Neodiprion lecontei: one gene and its partner. The protein of the gene in region 2 purifies or fractionates together with the protein of the main gene of each other region. This does not show direct contact. Links are inferred from orthologs where the notes say so. Each region holds a gene or a part of one and is shown on either strand. Other genes may lie near its edges.

Region 1 (8,665 bases), on a different chromosome or scaffold from region 2:
GTTGCTGTTGCTGTTGCTGTTGCTGTTGCTGTTTACCCGATTGCGTCGACTGAGTATTGCTGAGTTGTGACAATACCTCTGGCGTCGCGTGCGACTTCAGTATCGAATTCTCCGCCTCCAATTGATTTATCCGGTCCATCAATTCTGCAATCTTCTCCTTCAGCACCTCGACCTCCTCCCGCACCGCGAACATCAGGTGACTTTTTACCAAATCCTGTTCACGATAATCAAATTCCTCATTATTGTTATTATGTATTTACAAAGGCCATACGAGGATAAGCAGGTTAAAAATTACTATTGCGAATATCGTAATGATATTTTATGAATAAGTAGGTACTATTAAAATACCAGGATCCTGTATCAAACCTCAATCTCAATTTGCTGTTGAGGAAAAAAAAAAGCATATATTTATATATACATATCAGACCTTTCCTTATGGACAGTGAAATTGAATTTCGATGTTTGTACCCCTCAAATTGGTTCGAAATAATTTTGAAAAATATGTTGCAAATTTTTTTTCCCTTCGTATTTAACCACCTCTAGGAAGCCCTATTGTTGGTCCTAAAAAAAAAAATTGATTTTTCGAGGTTTTTAATCAAAAGTGCGTATCAGGTTCAAAGAAGATTGTAGATAATTTTGTAAAGAAGCAAAATGAAGAGGAATTTGTCCCCTTTAAAACCGCGTGTGGGAATTTCCTTTTTCTTATAAGAAGGAAGATGAGATGATTGAAATTTTTGAACATCTACTTATTATTTTCAGTGAAGAATTTCCTTTTACCTTAAGACTATTGAGTTCTTTGACCGCTCAAAAATTTGGATTCAATAGTCAAAATTTCTTGCCGCACTAAAAGTTAGATAGCGGAGTAAAAAATAAAGATAGCCATATTTCCCAAGCGGCGTCTTAAAGGGGCCAAATTCACAATCGTTTTACTTTTTTAACAAATTTTTAACGTTTTTTTGGACCCAGTACGCACTTGTGGTTAAAAACCTCAAAAAATGAATGCTTTTCTTACAAGAAAAAGTAAGGCTTTCTAAGGGTGGGTAAATATGATGCGGGGAAAAAAAAATATGTAACATTTTTTTTCAATTATATTTAAGGTGCGCAACCATCGAAATTCGATTAAAAATACATCCGAAATTAATAGCATATGCTGATGACACAGCTGTTGTGAGCAATGGTAAAACATGGGCAGAGCTGGAGGTTTATTCAAGTTAAAAGTTAGATTCAATTTGCGTCTGGTTATTCTGGAACAAATTAGTATTGAATATCAAAATGTCAGTATATATATAACATTTGGCAACTATTCTGACTCAATTTCCATGTCTATTGACATTTCTGTTAATGGATGCAGTTTAAGGAGAGTACCTGAATGGAAATATCTTGGAATAATTTTGGATCAAAATATTTCATGGAAGCAGCATATTAATAATATTATTAATAAAACTAAATACTTAGTGTTTGTGTTCTATCGATTGAAACAAGTCTTAACAAAAAAGGCAGGTAATTCAAATTTATTGTACGATGTTCCATAGTATTGCAGTGTACGGCATTATTGGATGGGGTAGTTTATATGATACTGCGTACCTTCCATTATTAACACTACAAAGTCGGTTACCCGAGATAATTGACATTCGAGTTAATGACCAGAATCGACCTATGGAAATCAGACAGGTTTACCTACTGGTCCATACTGTACCAATACACGGAACTGAGGAGGTTATTCACTGAGAATACGAATAATACTAGGTATCGTAGCATTTCATTAACGAAAGATTATCTTCATATTGGGCAAAGAAGCTACTTATATTATGCGGTAAAAAACTATTCAATGAACAACCAAATGATTTGAAAGTTATTGATAGAAGCAAAAAATTAATAATACAAAAAATTAAGGATAAAATATATCAACTTAAAATAGATTAAATAAAGAGTTAATGGTAATATTGGATTTTGTGAATATTAAGTATTTCATTATTGAGTAGAATTATTTAAACGTTAGATCTTGTTGTATAGTCTAATTTTATCATAAAGTTTGTTTAAGATAATTCTGGCAATAAATTATTATTATTATTATTATAAAATAATTTTTTCATCGGGATTAACCTGACAAATATGTTTGAAAATTGAAAATGTTATTGAAGAAACAAAGAGCTTGTACATACACAATGGAAACATTTTTAGCTTAATAAGCGCATCATAAAAAAAATTATTGTCTCCTTGATTTTTTATTTTCACTGTGACACTTTTCAAGTAAAATGATGAAACTGTTATTTTTTCATTCCTTATAGATTTTTCAATAAATCGTATCATTGTCTAAATTTGCATTACAGTATGCCACTGTTAAAATAAAAATACAACTATTTTAATTCCAGAAAAACTGAATTATGCAAACAAATTTTAGCTGTGTTATTGCAAATCGTACTTTTATACATACGTATATAAACAATATACTGAAATAATTTACTTACTCAATTAACTGAATTATTTAAGTACATTACTTATTTAAAAACAAGAACACAACTCGCAATAATACGGCTAAAACTTGTTTCATAATTCAGTTCTTGTGTGGAAAAAAAATGGTGTTTCTTTTGTTTTTTTAATTACGGCGTACCACTACCAAAATTTTGAAATAAATGTGACTCATTGAAGAATTCATGAGGAATGTAAAACTGGCGATTGGATAGCAAGTTCAGTTCCAGTTCATAGTTTTGCTCAAATAAAATCACAGTGAAAAAGAAAAGTTTAAGAGAAAATAATTTTTCTTATCATGAATTTATTAAGTTTAAAATCTACGTGTCTATAAAAGCTTTTGACTAACATATAAAGTTTCAAACAAATCGGTCAAGTCAATCTTAAGTAAAAAATTATTTAACATTTTTTTAGCTTTTTTTTCTTTCTCAAAAACTAATCGAGATTCAGATCTAATATTTTCAGGATCTTTGTATTTTAATAGTCCTTACGTATCCATAAGAAATTATTAAGATATTTGCAAAAGCCATTGTTACCCTGCTTATCCCCCTACCGTCTTTATGTTCGTAAAATTTCATAACTTCTTTTTCAGACACGAGGTTGAAATTAGAAACGTATTACTGATGTTGAGGGTGTTTCTTGTTTAGAAAAAAAAACACATTCATTCATAACTTTAAAATTGTTTGAAATCGGTGAAGCGTAATGTTTAATTAGCTTAATATACTTATATTTTGAAAACCCAATTAACTTCTTTGTGGTCATTCTAAAATTGCAACATAATGAATTTTTGCCTTCGCTGTTTCTTTAGATCAACTTTATTAACTTCAACTCGTTCTTAGACTCTAAAAAGTTCTTCGATTACTATAATTTTGTAGGGAACTAAAAGCCTGACTGAAAACCCACGAAGACTGAGAAGAATTCTTACCATAGCTTGTTCAATTTTGTTGTCAATGGCAACTGCACTGGTCCCGGACATACTGAAAATTAAAACGAACAAAGTAGTAGCAACGAAATCGACTGCGATATCAACAAAGGATTTTCATTCGAGATGTGAGCATTGAAAATACGGGAGAAGTACTTGTTTCATTTTAAAAAATTAGAAATTAGACAAAATTCCCACATTTTCCAAATTTTTACTACATACTCAAGGATAAAATTAGACCAACGTTATCATCGTCGTATCCGATTACTCATTGGCCAGTCTTCCTCACCTTTCATTGTCTTCGTGGGCGTGATGTTCGTCAGTGCTCTGGGTGACTTCAGCGAGGGATTCGAGCAGAGTCGCATCCGCGGATTGTGGAGGCACAACAGCAACAACAGGACCAGCAATACCAGCAGCAGGATCCTGTTCGTTGTCGGAATGGTGAAACGAGATGACATTCTGGCCCGACGACTGAGACTGCATCTGTGCCTGTGGCATAACGGGCGCAGTGGAAACATGGATATTTGGTGCAGCCTGTTGCTGCTGGATATTCTGCACACCCTGAATGCCTGCCATCGGTTCGGACAGTTGCTGCTGCTGGTGAGGCGGTGGAACTCCAGTGACCATGATGTTTGGCGTCTGAGCAGCTGGTGAAGACACAGCGGCCGGATGTCCTTGCACAACCGGTGTCTGGACAGTAGGCGTCTGGCATACGTTCTGCTGCGGCTGTGGAGCCTGTGCACTGACTGTAACGTAGTTTTCCTCCTTAGTAGGATGCTGCTGAAGGTTCTGCTGGTTCGTCGCTATCGCGACTCCGTTGCTGCTGTTGTTCCCAGTTTGCGCGATTAGCGGAATTGAGCCCTGCGGCATGCTCTGAGGCTGGCCAAGGTTCCCTGGGTGTGAGGCAGGTGCCAGATTCGATGGCAGAGTAGCGCCCTGCGCCGCACCTCCGCCGTGCTGATTCTGGTTCTGAGTTTGCTGCGACATTTGCTGCTGCTGTTGCTGAAAGTACTGTGGAGGAATCTGTTGCTGAGCAGAATTCGACTGCTGCTGTATTTGCGGTTGATTGGGTTGCTGCTGCTGAGAGAGCGATGTACTGTTTACAGGGTAGGTGGCACTCCCAACAATTTCCTGGTGCGATATTGGCCCATTGGAATCCACACTTTTCGTGCCCTCGGTGTCTGGCTGCTGCTGTTTCATGGCCTCGGGGACAACGATGCCACTATCGGTGACGCCGTACGATATGCAAACCTCATTCGGCCCTGACTGCTTGATGGAATTAATAGCCGTCGTCTGGTTGACGGATGTGTGGTCAAGGTAGTCCATGCAGGTCCATCGACCACGCTTGAACGGCTCTGTGCTTTCGATCTTAACAACTTTGAAACGTTCATTGCGCCCATGCGAGTGGACCTCGCGAATATCGGGATCTTGCTTCGCACCACCTGACAGAAGATTTATTATGTTTTTGTCCGTCACTGAGCCGATATCCAAGGCATTGATGTTGTTCTCGCTGGCTGAGTTGCTTGCTCCGCCACCCTCAGATGGAACAATGGCAAGGCCGTACTGAGAGCTTGTCGGAATGACAGGTGCAGTACCGAGGGCAGCATTGCTTGTGTTGAAAAAGACGTCTTCCTTAGAGAAGGTGTCCTCCGAGTAGCTCGGCGTCTCGATGTCGATGTCAGTCACTCTCGAGTGTTCCACAGAATTATCTTCCGTGTGTGACTCATCCAGATCGTCATTCGAATCCTCGCCAGCGTCGTTACTCATCCTACAGCCTACCGTCACGCTGGTTATCTGAAACGATGACGTCTTCTTTCTGCACTGACCGCCCGACGACGCCGATGAGGCAACATTGTTCTGGACAGGAGTCGACGTCGTCGGGGGTGGTGCCAACGGCTGGAGAAACTTATCAGGCTCACCGATCCTGATCGTCTCCGAGGTTGTGCGATGCACGACCGAAGAGGGCGATGAGGACAATTTTTTACTACTACTACTATTGCTAACGCTGTTGTTAACGCTGTCTGCCAAGTGTTTGCTGTGCGACTTTCTGTGCACATTATCTGCCATTATTATAGATTAGTTTGTTTATTAGAAACATTCGCATTCTACAATTCTCTCCGAGGAAGAGGAGGAGGCGGTGGAGGTCGAGGCTTTGGCATCGACTGTCGTGGCTAGACTTTTTCCCCAGTTGCATGTTAACACCATTGTGTTTCTTGCGTGTCTTGTTCGACTCTCGGCGCCGTCGACGACGACGACTCAAGTCCCGGTTTTTCACCCAGGAACTATTTTCTTCTATTTCTATTTTTCTCTTTCCCTCTCTGCCTCACTTATCGTCGAGAGTTGCGACCGAAACGGTCGTCGTCGGGTTTTCCTGCTCTCAAGTTGTTCAATGTACTTTTTTTTTCTTTCTTTTCCCTCTTACGCAGGGGTGGATGACGGGGGTGTATTTGTTCTATTTCTCCTTCTTTTGTTTGAAAAACTCGTATAATTGCACGAGTACGAATCGCCGACGGAACCGAGAAGAGACGTCACGACGAAGGGACGATCAGGATTATTATTGCGGATTTCGGAGGGTGTTTATTCTGCCCATTTTTTGCCACATGATTTATCGTCTAGCCACACACAGAAATACACAGCATATGCACGCCATACGATATAACACGACACAATCACTAACTGGCTGCGAGGGATGCTGGTGTTGACAGTTCTTGATCATCGCTAGTTCCCTGTTCCTGGTTTCCTCGACACGGTTTCTCTTTCACAGCCCCCGAAAAATCCGAGGGGCATCAGTTGATCGGCTAGATTACCGTCTCCGACGGGATTATCGCGACTTTGGTATTTGCATCGTCTTATTCCTCCTCTTCTTGTTTACTGCACTGCTGCTGCTGCTACTCTGCACACTAATCTATCTTCCTTTTGCTGTAGTTTCATTTACACAAACAGCCCCTCATGTACCCCGTAATTGTCAGATTTCACTCGTACCTGATGCTGTGTTTATTTTTTGACTTGTGGACTTGCGGTAGATCACCGCAAACCGCGCCGAGGTACTTGACTTTTTGCGAATTAGACAGGTTACATTTTACATGATTTTTCTTATTTTTTTTTTATTTTTTCGCTCTCTCTCTACGGGTAGAAAACAAATGCAGATGAATATATGAGTGTGTGTGTATGTGGGTATAGATATACGTATGTATATCTATATCTAGATGTCGTTAATGCGTGTTCTGCGTGATATCCTTCTTCTCTTCTCAATTCCCTTCGTCACCAACGTTCATCTCTGTTACTATATTATTTATACTGTTGGTTTATTATTTTTTTCTTCTATTTTTCCTTCTCTCGCTCCGCCTTTGCAGTGGCAGACAGGCAGCAGCAGTGAGCAACAGCGGTTTAAAAATGGCTGCCATTCACTCGGGCTCGCAATGAATCATATACTACATGAATGTACTTAGATCGTCTTCAAATACGGCCTTGAGGACCTAAGTTGCGCACTAAGACCGTGTTCGAAAATTGACTGACAGTACTGTCAGCAATCTTTCATCTCTTTTGTGCTGCCGAGTTCATGAACAGCTCTGTCTCTGTCCTAGGGAATTTTTAGTACTGGCAGTCAATTTACGAACACGGCCTAAATAAAAATTCCCCAGAGAACTAGTAGCGTTCTTCACTTACTACGGCCGTGTTCGTAAATTGACTGACAGTACTCAAAATTCCCCAGGACAGAGTCAGAGCTATTCACGAACTTGGAAGCGCAAAAGAGATGAAAGATTGCTGCCAGTACTGTCAGTCAATTTTCGAACACGGCTTACGTTACCCATGGTATTACACGGGTCTGTCTGGAAACTCCCTTAGAACATATAATACTGAAGGTGGAGCTACCCATGCCGTCGACTTCGCGAAAACTGTGGCCGTAGTCATGAGAGAGCGAGATATGTATCCCCGAGTTAACCTGGATACTCTGTCACTCTCACTCTGCATTTGATTGGCTGAGAGGGAACGCATCGGACAAGCAGGTTGTAGAGCGAGAGAGACAGGCTGTACATACATGGCATAAGTGCTCTATCTCACCCTCCGCCACAATTTCTGTATGGACCCACGGTAATTTCCGAAAGTAATGCATACTGATTTGGCAACGTTTAATGACAAACTATTTTCATATAACCAATACTTCATTTTTTTCAGTTGGTCGATAGCAAATTTTTTAAACTTATCGAATCTGTAGCACTGCAAGAAACTATATCATCAGCAATTCCAAAAGACTGTTTATGTACAGTAATATGCTCTAAGGTATAGTCCTTATTTAAGGTGTTGACGAATTATACCCGAGCCACCCCCCAAATCTACCCAAATGATTCAAAAAAAATGTCCTAATTTTTTTAGATTTTTATCACATCTCTAACTCGTGCCTGTAAGAGGGTGAATGCCTCCATTTAAAATACTCGTGTTTCGGCCACATTCTCAGTATGCAAGGGTGTGCAATTTGCCGAGATTGCCGGGTACGGTGATGTAAATTTCTTCACAGATAGTAGCACTAATGCCCATTGAAATCTCGCAGTTACAGGTTTTTTTTAACAATATTACTCTAACTATGTGTATTTTGAATCGGAAAATCCATCGTATTACCGGCACGGGTTAGAATTGAAATAAAAATCTAAAAAAATTAATAATAGATTTGGGGGGTAGCCTGAAAAAATTCAGCAACACCCTAAACTAGGACCACCCTGTTCCCTGTGGTACTCAAATATTTACATCTTTAGAGCTAAAAGCTTTTTAAGCTTTCTCGTAAATATTTTCTTTTTACTTGTCAGAATTAAAATTCATGTGATACTAAATTGAAAACTCCGCCTTTATATAATTACTTTTACCAGTTATGGTTTTTTTAATATTTGGTAGCAATATAACTCTGTTTCTCGTTCTACTACTTGACTTCAGAGATTCATTTTTCAGTGTAATTTTTATGTGTAGCAACTGAGATTTATTTTAGCTAGGTTCATCAGTAATTGAATGGGGCTAACGTACTAATGTTCATAGAAACAGAACGGTTTGAGAACGTGAGTATCTATAAATTTATAATTTATAATTGAGTGCACGCCGTAGGAGATCCTTCTTCTTTTTCTCCTGTACGACTATTCCTCCGAAGAGGATGTTCCAAAGGTAGACCTTTAGTAGAGACTGGACTCTGACACATGAAATCCTTTCATGGTGGTACTCGGTGACGAAGCGTCATAGACGTAACTAGACTAATCAGAGAACAACTTTAAACGGAAAGTCGGTTCCATC
Region 2 (9,059 bases):
CGACGATCGGGTTCGTTTGCCAGTTTGTCTGGATGCCGCTGGTAAAATAACTATATTCACTGATCGATGTGTTAGTTTGGGTAAACTATATCATTATCTGTATCAGTAATAATCACCTGTATTATACCAATTCACAGCTGAGTTACGGCATTGGATTAGTCCTGTTTCCAGACGATCCTGAACTGCGGTTGGGGATGTTTTTCGCCGGGGTGAGTCCTGCCGGAGGTGCATCTAATATTTGGACAGTAATTTTGGGCGGCAATCTCAATTTATCTGTAACAATGACCACCATCAGTACATTGGCAGCGTTTGGTGAGTTTTCCGACTCGCTTTTGTATGTACTGCGATATGATCTTTACAAAAATCGTTCGGAGAATATTAATCAAATCATGTGTGATTCGTAGGCATGATGCCGCTGTGGATCTTCACCCTTGGGAGTACGATTTTCAACAGTGCAAACCTCGGGGTTCCGTACTCGAGGATAGCAATGTTCGCAGTTGGTCTTGTCATTCCATTGGGTATCGGATTCCTGATTCAGAAAAAACTGCCAAGGGTCTCAAGGATACTAGTAAGAATACTGAAGCCGTTGTGCAGTCTGCTGATCATTGCTATCATCGTATTCGCCATTATTACCAATCTGTATCTCTTTCAACTGTTTTCGTGGAGGGTAATTACACAATTTTTACTTCCAAATAGCACCGTCAAAAATAATTGCCATATTACTCTAACCCTAGGTTTAGAATTTCCCAAGAATTACTCAACATGCTGATCAAATTACTTTTCAGATCATTGTTGCCGGTATTGGATTACCCTGGCTGGGGTATTTGTTTGGGTATTTGCTCGCTCTTGTTCTGAGGCAACCGGGCCCTGATATAACGGCAATCTCCGTCGAAACCGGAGTTCAAAACACCGGAATCTCGATATTTCTACTCAGATTCTCGTTGCCGCAACCAGCTGCTGATTTGACCACCAGTAAGAATATACCTATTCTTGTATAAGCTATCATCTCTATTTCGGAGAATTATTTCAACAATTTCGTTTACTTTGCAGTTGCTCCAGTATCAGTTGCGATAATGACGCCAATTCCATTGACTATCCTTTGGATCGTGAAACTGATTATGGATCGACGGAAAAAATCGATCGCTGCTTCAGCTGAGAAACTTCAAGGATCTACAGAGCCGATACCAACCGTATCTGCATCTACTAAAACGGACAACACCGAAAATCCTTGATTTGTACCTTTCCGTTTTAGTTTTTTGTAATCACGTTGCTACGCGCCATATCGTAACAATATTTCGAATTCTGTATATTCATTTGCCTTATCTTATGAAAGGCTGGTATAGTATCACGCATTTAATGTCTATTGATTTTCTATACAATTTTCAATCCACCGACACGTCGCGTACTTATCATTACTGAACATACCTACTGTTTTCCTTATTTTACCAAAGTTTGGTACGATACTGAATAGTTTAACACAAATTGAGAACAAATAGTACTCTTTATAGTAGATTTATACATATCTTGATTACTTAAAAAAATCCAGTCAGCAATTTACGAGCGAATGAATTTCGCGCAATATGCGAATTTAATCGGTATTTTATTTTTCCTGTAGAGTTATTTAGGCGACCAATTTTTCTAGTGATTCATTACTTACTATTCTATAGTTACCGTGAGGTAAAGAGTCACAAACTATGATGTATTATTATGATATAAAAAAAAAAACCTGGGACCTGGTCTTTGCAACTCTCGGATCAAAGTGTTCAGGTTGCGACTGAGGGGTAACCATCCCCATAACTTATATAACGTGTAACGCTAGACTATAGAAGAAGGAAAAGAAGTTCTAGGTTTGTGTAACCTTTCAATCAATTCCAGAACTAACATAACTACCAGAATGTACACCCACACACTCACTGTGCTGTGCCTTAATAACTTATTGCTAGCTAATACAGCTATGCTGTATATTGTACATTCGTAAACGTCTTGTTATACGTATAATAAGATATTGTTATTAATGTTTACTCATATATAAGATGTATATACTAAACGTTGATTATTTTTTTATTCAGAATATACGGTTTAAAAAAGAGAAAACATTTTAAATACTCATCGTTCTTATATCGACAATTTTCATCGACTTGAATTACGCGTACACGCATGACCATTGGAAAGTATTGGTATTATTAGTATTTATTAATGTCCATGACGATGTTGGACATCATTGGATTAATCCGTCTCAAACGTCTAAAACAATTACAAAGGATAAAAAAAATCTGAAAAAGGAGAAATCTAAAACGTTTAAAAAAAGTTGTACCTGGAAATTTAGAAAAATTTTTCGGGCACCGATCGTTGCATGTTCGGCCCTGTAAAAGTATTAGGCGATAGATGAATCGAATAGTTAGACGTGAGTTAGACAAGGAATGAATGAATGTATTCAAACTCCCCGATTTTCCCGCGAGAGGCAGTCGCTGCCGGTGGGCGCGGCGTTACTGTCGTGCTCAGACTTGTATTAAGCTTTTGGTAACCGAAGATAGAGTGAGATGATATTACAGCGCAATGGCAATGAGGAGTGTATAGTGTGTGTCACACGGTAATAATTCTCTCCCTTTCACGTCACACGGGTTTTAATTTGAAACCAGTGATCTCGATGGATGATATTTCGGTTATGAATTGTGCCGGAAACGGTTCGCCGAGTACCAGCGAATAAATTGTGTCGCTGCCGGATCGCGTAGTGCAGTAAATAATAATAGACATAATACGTTAAAATTGGGATCGGTCGTGCTGCATGTGTCACTCTAGTAGAGGAGGAGGCGTATACAATATATAAATACATTTAAATAAAAGATAATAATTTTATACTCAACCTCCCTCAATCCCCCTCTCGACTTCCCCTCCCTTCAACGACGTTTTCTACTCCATCAACATATTAATAATACATACTTCTTTCGCAGTGATCAAATGTTACTCTAAATATCAATATAATATTATTATGGTATTTAACTCAGTGACTCAGTTCTGCAGCTTTCAAGTTTTCAACGTGCCGTCATAATTGTTGTATGTAATGCCTGGGAGTCGATCCAGCACAGACCCAGAGCACAAGTCACCGCGGGAAAGTGGCGAAGATTCTGAGGATGAGAGTGAAATCCTCGAGGAAAGTCCCTGCGGACGCTGGCTCAAGAGGCGAGAAGAGGTAACTTATTCCAGTCGTCATTTTCACCTCATACGTGGTTGACAAAAATGATCGTATATATCTTATTTAGGCTTGCTTTTCGTCTTATTCTTTATGCCACAACAACTCGACCCACTGAATCCATCTGTTGATTTTTCTTTACAGGTCTACGTACCTACTAAATCTGCTCTAGCCGAAGGGTCCACCTTTGCAGGATCAGCTCGGAGCAACGCCACGGAAAACGACAAGAATCTCTCAAACCCCGATATGGAAGTGAGAATTTCTCCAGATTTTACCTCACTTTGCTAAGATAATAACTCTGTGTTTCTTAGGTTTAATAGTTATTGTCCGGGGACAGTTCCAAGGTTTATGATCGATTCGTGTTCTTCCAATCTAATCGAGTGGTATTTTTTTCAGGCTGAAAAGAGGGATTTGCCGGGTATTGATTGTGCCTACCTTGCTATGGACACAGAGGAAGGTGTCGAGGTTGTTTGGAACGAGGTACAGTTTTCCGAGCGCAAGAATTTCAAAGCACAAGAGGAGAAAATTCAACTTGTGTTTGAAAATTTGACTCAACTAGAGCATCCCAATATAGTGAAATTTCATAGATATTGGACAGATACTCACAATGACAAGCCACGAGTAAGTCGTTGGTTTATTATTTGAACAAAATAATTATATGTCTGCCGGATAAAAAGCTCATTTTTTATTTTTTAGGTAATATTCATAACTGAATATATGTCGTCGGGATCGTTGAAGCAGTTCCTCAAAAGGACGAAACGTAACGTTAAAAAATTACCACTGCAGGCTTGGAAACGATGGTGTACACAAATTCTTTCAGCGTTAAGGTATGTCACGAAGTTATTAAATAATAGGACAATCTTTTAAATTTTCCCCTGCTTTAATCTGTCCCAATTCGTAATACAATGATCAAATTCCTGTTTCAGTTACCTGCATTCTTGCTCACCTCCTATTATTCATGGAAATCTTACCTGTGATACTATTTTTATTCAGCACAATGGCCTAGTTAAAATTGGTTCAGGTAAGCAGTAATATTGAAAGCGTATAAGGCGGATGACGTTACGTACTTATTGCTGACCGGTTGTTCTGTCTTTAATGCTAATACGCAGAATACACATAGTTTTAATGGATGTCTAATTGTGCTTGATGGCTTTGCTCGTTTGCAAAAATCATCAACGGATTATTTAAGCAAGCAACTTGTTTTCAGCTGATTCTTTACAATCAGCACATAGCCGTTCTGATAAATGAAATAATATTTAATCGAAACAGGAAACAATGACATTGAAACGTGAGTAGAGAAATTAGAAATCTCCACAATTATAATTGCATAGTTGGAGAATACCAATGATGTCACTACTAAATACTATTGTAAACGAAATGGGAACTATGTAAGGTTTTTGCTAGCAGTAGATAGGACAGAACGTATTCTAAATTTAGATGTACACAGAAGTTAGACAAAAAGATTGTGTTATTCTAATGTTCCTTTTGAACTAGGAGTAACTTGAGTCCTCATTTTTAATTGTAGCAAATAGCCTCTAATCTAGATAATGAAAAAAAAACAGCAATGCCTTCAACAAGAGAGACGAGGGTACAAACGTACTTTCACCGTATCTACCGGAGAAATTAAATTTTCGACATCTACAACCTATCAATTGGCCTCATAACTTGCCACAGGTGGCGAAGTGGTGAAACTTCTCAACTTGGCAGATTATCACCTATCGCCAGCTAAGTAAATTAGGCACAGAGGTAAACAATATTATTATTATGCATAATTTATTAATTATAGAAAGTATACTTTTCAAGTACTTCTTTCACACTCAGTTACGATGCTAAGTGTAATCTTATTTTTAAAAAAGAACCACTATTTCGTCCTGAGAATAGACGTGAAAAAATTAATGAAGAACATGTTATCTGTGTGTCAGGATATACTTCAGAACCGAATGAAATGAGGGCTCAATTTACACTTGTAATTATCTTATTATCGATTATATCAATGATTCTTTAAGTACTTCTATGAAAAAAAAATTTCGTGGGTATGAAAGGATCAACTGACAAACTACAGTAATTACATAAAAATCTTGAAATATGTGACAGACGGAAAAATTTTCCCACCATATAATAGATATTATTCCAATGTTTCATGGGAAAAGTCTTCTGTACTGCCTGTACTTTTTTTTCAACTTTTTTTCACATTTTTGAACCATGTTTTGGCAAACTAAAAGTGAATTTCTTTGACATTACAGTGGCGCCTGATGCTATTCATCATCACGTAAAAACCTGCAGGGCAAATACGAAGAATATGCATTTTGTTGCACCAGAATACGGAAGTAAGTTCCATTTAGTATCAGCCAAAGACTTTGGACCCGTAAGAGAGGAAATGCTTGTCCAATTGTTGATGATATATTTTTCTTTCTTTCTAGTTTTATCCTTAGGCTCGTTAACTCCGGCTATTGATATTTATTCCTTTGGAATGTGTGCATTGGAAATGGCAGCGCTAGAAATTCAAGGAAACGGCGATACTGGTACCGTAGTTACGGACGAAAATATCAATAAAACCATAGAATCGTTAGATGACAGCCAGCAGAAGGATTTCATTCATAAATGTCTTCAAGTAAATCCCATCTGTCGGCCTAGCGCCAGAGAACTTTTATTTCATCCTCTACTTTTCGAGGTTCACACCCTGAAGCTGTTGGCGGCACACGCTTTGGTTAATTCAGCCAGTAAGTATATCGTGCCTTTGTCTAGTATTGTTGGTCTTTATCCAAATACAACAACAGATATTTTCTTTCATTTTTAGCAAATATATCAGAGACAATAACAGATGAGGTGCTACAAAGGCTGTACGGACCCGACACAGTCGTTGCTGAAGTACGTTATGCAGATCGTTCTCCGTACCAAATTCGTTCAAGTGATATTCAAGTTGCTGAAAAATTAGAGAAATTCGTCGAAGATGTAAAGTAAGTTTTGGATTAGACTCGCTCTCTATATAGTCACATTTAAAATGATTGTCCTACCGTATTATATGTCTATCGATAGTCTGCACATGTGCAATTTTTCTGCTGTCTTACCAATTTCTTTCTAATATTATATCGCCTTTTAATTTCTTTGTAGATGCATCTAATACTTGCTAATAATTGATCTCGTTTAAGGGTATGAAAATATTCAACTTTGAATACTCGTGCTGTTCTGAATATCGAAAATAATCATCTCCTCTCGATTAACATTCAGGTATGGAATATACCCGTTAACTGCATTTATGGCTAAGTTACCGCCTCCGGTTCGACCTCGTGCCATATCCCCAGAAGTAACGGAATCTGTCAAGTCTGTAACACCTGAACCACTTGACTTTGAATCTCGGAGAGTTGTAAATATGATGTGCAACGTGAAGCCTAGAGAAGAGAGCCGTGAACTTCTTGTAAGTCTTTGTTAAATTTGTTACTTCGATTCATATTCATTTTTCAAAGCTGTTGTTACACTATTGTTCATTCGTTTCAGATGACGATACTTTTGCGAATGGATGATAAAATGAACAGGCAACTCACATGTCCTATAACGCAAATCGACACGTCGATGCTTCTCGCACAAGAACTCGTACATTTTGGGTTTATCAACGAGGTAAGTGCGGACCGATAAAGCTAGAGAGAAAAAAATCGTATACAAGGTGTAGGAACAACGAAAGGTGTACTGTCCCTACAAAATATTGGCAGGAAATTCATATAATGCAATAAAATTTGTACAATTGTACGTATTTATTTCAGAACGATCGTGATAAGATAGGAAATCTAATCGAAGAGGCATTAAGAAGTTGTTTCAACAAGCAAATGATGAATCCTGGAATGGTATCCTTGACAAATCTTCCAACGCAAACGACACTGTTACTCTCCGGGCCTGAATTTCCGTGTTTGCAACATTTAGATAATAATTCCTCTGTCGCTGGTGTTGCAACAGCGAGTGGCGGTGAGAATTTGATTGGAAATTCGTATAAAAAAGGAACAGAAAGTAGGGAAGCAGAATCATCAATAATCGCCGACAGCGGTAGTTAACCATCGAGAGGATTTGTGATAATTCAGTTCAATGTGCCACCTTGCACATTTTATATATAGACTGGCTATGTATTTTTATATTTAAGTAAATACGACAGAAAGTGGAATAATGAGGGAGATGAGCTTGGAAGGAGAGGGGAGGAGGAATCGAGTCGTGGCTTTCAAAAAAGCATAACCGTGATGATAAACATGCACATTTTAACCGAATATTTCACGGTACGATATGACAGTGAGTGAACTCAATTTCAGGGTCGAAATATTTGGTAAGACGAATAAAGTAAATTTTATTTAATAAATCATATTAGAAATGGTCATATTGTATTATCGCTGAAATATTAGTGAGACAAATTTTATAACATTCTTAGGGTCTATAACTCTCTCTTTGAAAAAGAAAAAAGAAAAAAGAAAAAAAAAAATACTTTACAAACTCTCAGTTATGACGGCGCCGCAAAATGATAAGTGTATTAATTCTTTGATATTACTACATGAATTTTTTTCGTTTTCTTTGCAAGGAGACGTTTTACCTTCTGTTAGTCCCGCTTTTGCTACATACATAATATTAATATGCTTAGAGACGCATTTTGATAATTTTTTACTTTCTCCCCAAAGACGTACGCGAGGAAAGTAAAAATAGAAGAAAAATTATTTCTTATTTTCAACTCTGGAACTTAATTTCGCTTTCAGATAAATTTTCTCGTGTACATACAATGTATTTCTTTCTTTTTTCATAATTAGCAATTTGTAAAATTCTAAATTATTTTACGCACTTCGAGAGATTTCACTTTGTTAATTCAGCATTTTTGCCCCTGAATAATACTCGTTCGTGTACGCAATTGATACCATTTCTGTTATTTTTTGATTTTTTGTTTCTACTAGTATTGACAATTGAAAAAGAAAAAAACCCATAAGAGACCGTGTATCTTGATATTTGAATCAATAGGCATTATTTTTATATATACAATGAAAATTCGAATAAACCACTTAATTTAATAATAAATAATTTAGAGAAAAAACACGTACCGCGAACAGAGAGCTAAAAATTACAAACGCATTTTTTGATGACAGAATCGTGTGTTTTTCTTTTCTTTTCTAATTATTTTTTACCTATTAGTCCGTGCGATCATTTTAAATATCACCAACATCTGTTGAGCAGCTCCGCATCCGCCATCGATATGTCCTACCATGAAATAAAATATGTACCTACCTAGCTGCGTGATACCTTGTACGCAAAATTGAGTAACAGATTGCGTTAATAAAAGTAAGATAAATTATAAATATCGAACGCTCGAATGCTCGGAAACTTTGTTACAGATTATTGCATATTTCTTGTGAAAATCAATTAAATATCTCGATTCTCGTACCACCATCACTACTACTACTACTACTACTACTACTACTACTACTACTGCTACTACTACCTACTACTACTACAACTACTGCTACTCGCGGAATAATAAAGCTGCGCCACTTTGCGCAATTGTTTATAGCAGCGGTATAATGCCAAATTTGTTCGTTGTACCTATTAAGTGTAATAATCGTAGTATGTATAAAATGTAGTAGGTCTCTGAATCACCAATAAAACAAATATTTACAAATTTTTATGCATTCGAGGTACAAATGATTTATTGTATGTATGTATACGTTGCCAATGTGTCTTATTTTTCGAAAAAAGAATTTTCCATACGCACGTACCAACTGTCGCATTTGATTAAACCAGAATTTTTCATTGAAAAAACAAACCTTCCGAGAATGTTTTGTAAACGTGTACGTATGTAACATACATAATAATTATTTTTCTGTTAATTTTTTTTTTTTTTCGAACAACT

The links. Proteins that work in one complex are often made in the same cells at the same time.
Region 1: the proteins of nuclear receptor-binding protein (region 2) and protein bunched, class 2/F/G isoform purify together in Homo sapiens (affinity purification with mass spectrometry; 5 studies listed by BioGRID and IntAct, with this or other methods). This does not show direct contact. The link is inferred for Neodiprion lecontei from reciprocal best matches to the Homo sapiens genes NRBP1 and TSC22D2.

Annotation. Positions count from the first base shown.
Region 1 is NC_060264.1:22,930,348-22,939,012, forward strand, and holds the start of protein bunched, class 2/F/G isoform, read right to left. Parts: upstream 6,798-8,665; 5' UTR 5,459-6,797; coding exon 3,681-5,458; intron 3,447-3,680; coding exon 3,395-3,446; intron 215-3,394; coding exon 1-214. UniProt on the Homo sapiens protein: Reduces the level of nuclear PKM isoform M2 which results in repression of cyclin CCND1 transcription and reduced cell growth.
Region 2 is NC_060263.1:2,485,671-2,494,729, reverse strand, and holds nuclear receptor-binding protein, read left to right. Parts: upstream 1-2,368; 5' UTR 2,369-3,061; coding exon 3,062-3,190; intron 3,191-3,334; coding exon 3,335-3,442; intron 3,443-3,586; coding exon 3,587-3,811; intron 3,812-3,886; coding exon 3,887-4,017; intron 4,018-4,116; coding exon 4,117-4,211; intron 4,212-5,433; coding exon 5,434-5,517; intron 5,518-5,610; coding exon 5,611-5,910; intron 5,911-5,987; coding exon 5,988-6,147; intron 6,148-6,418; coding exon 6,419-6,605; intron 6,606-6,685; coding exon 6,686-6,805; intron 6,806-6,948; coding exon 6,949-7,233; 3' UTR 7,234-8,828; downstream 8,829-9,059. Other genes in the region: kinase D-interacting substrate of 220 kDa B, read left to right, coding at 1-41, 138-312, 405-667, 786-972, 1,051-1,232. UniProt on the Homo sapiens protein: Required for embryonic development. Plays a role in intestinal epithelial cell fate and proliferation, thereby involved in the architectural development of the intestine potentially via the regulation of Wnt-responsive genes.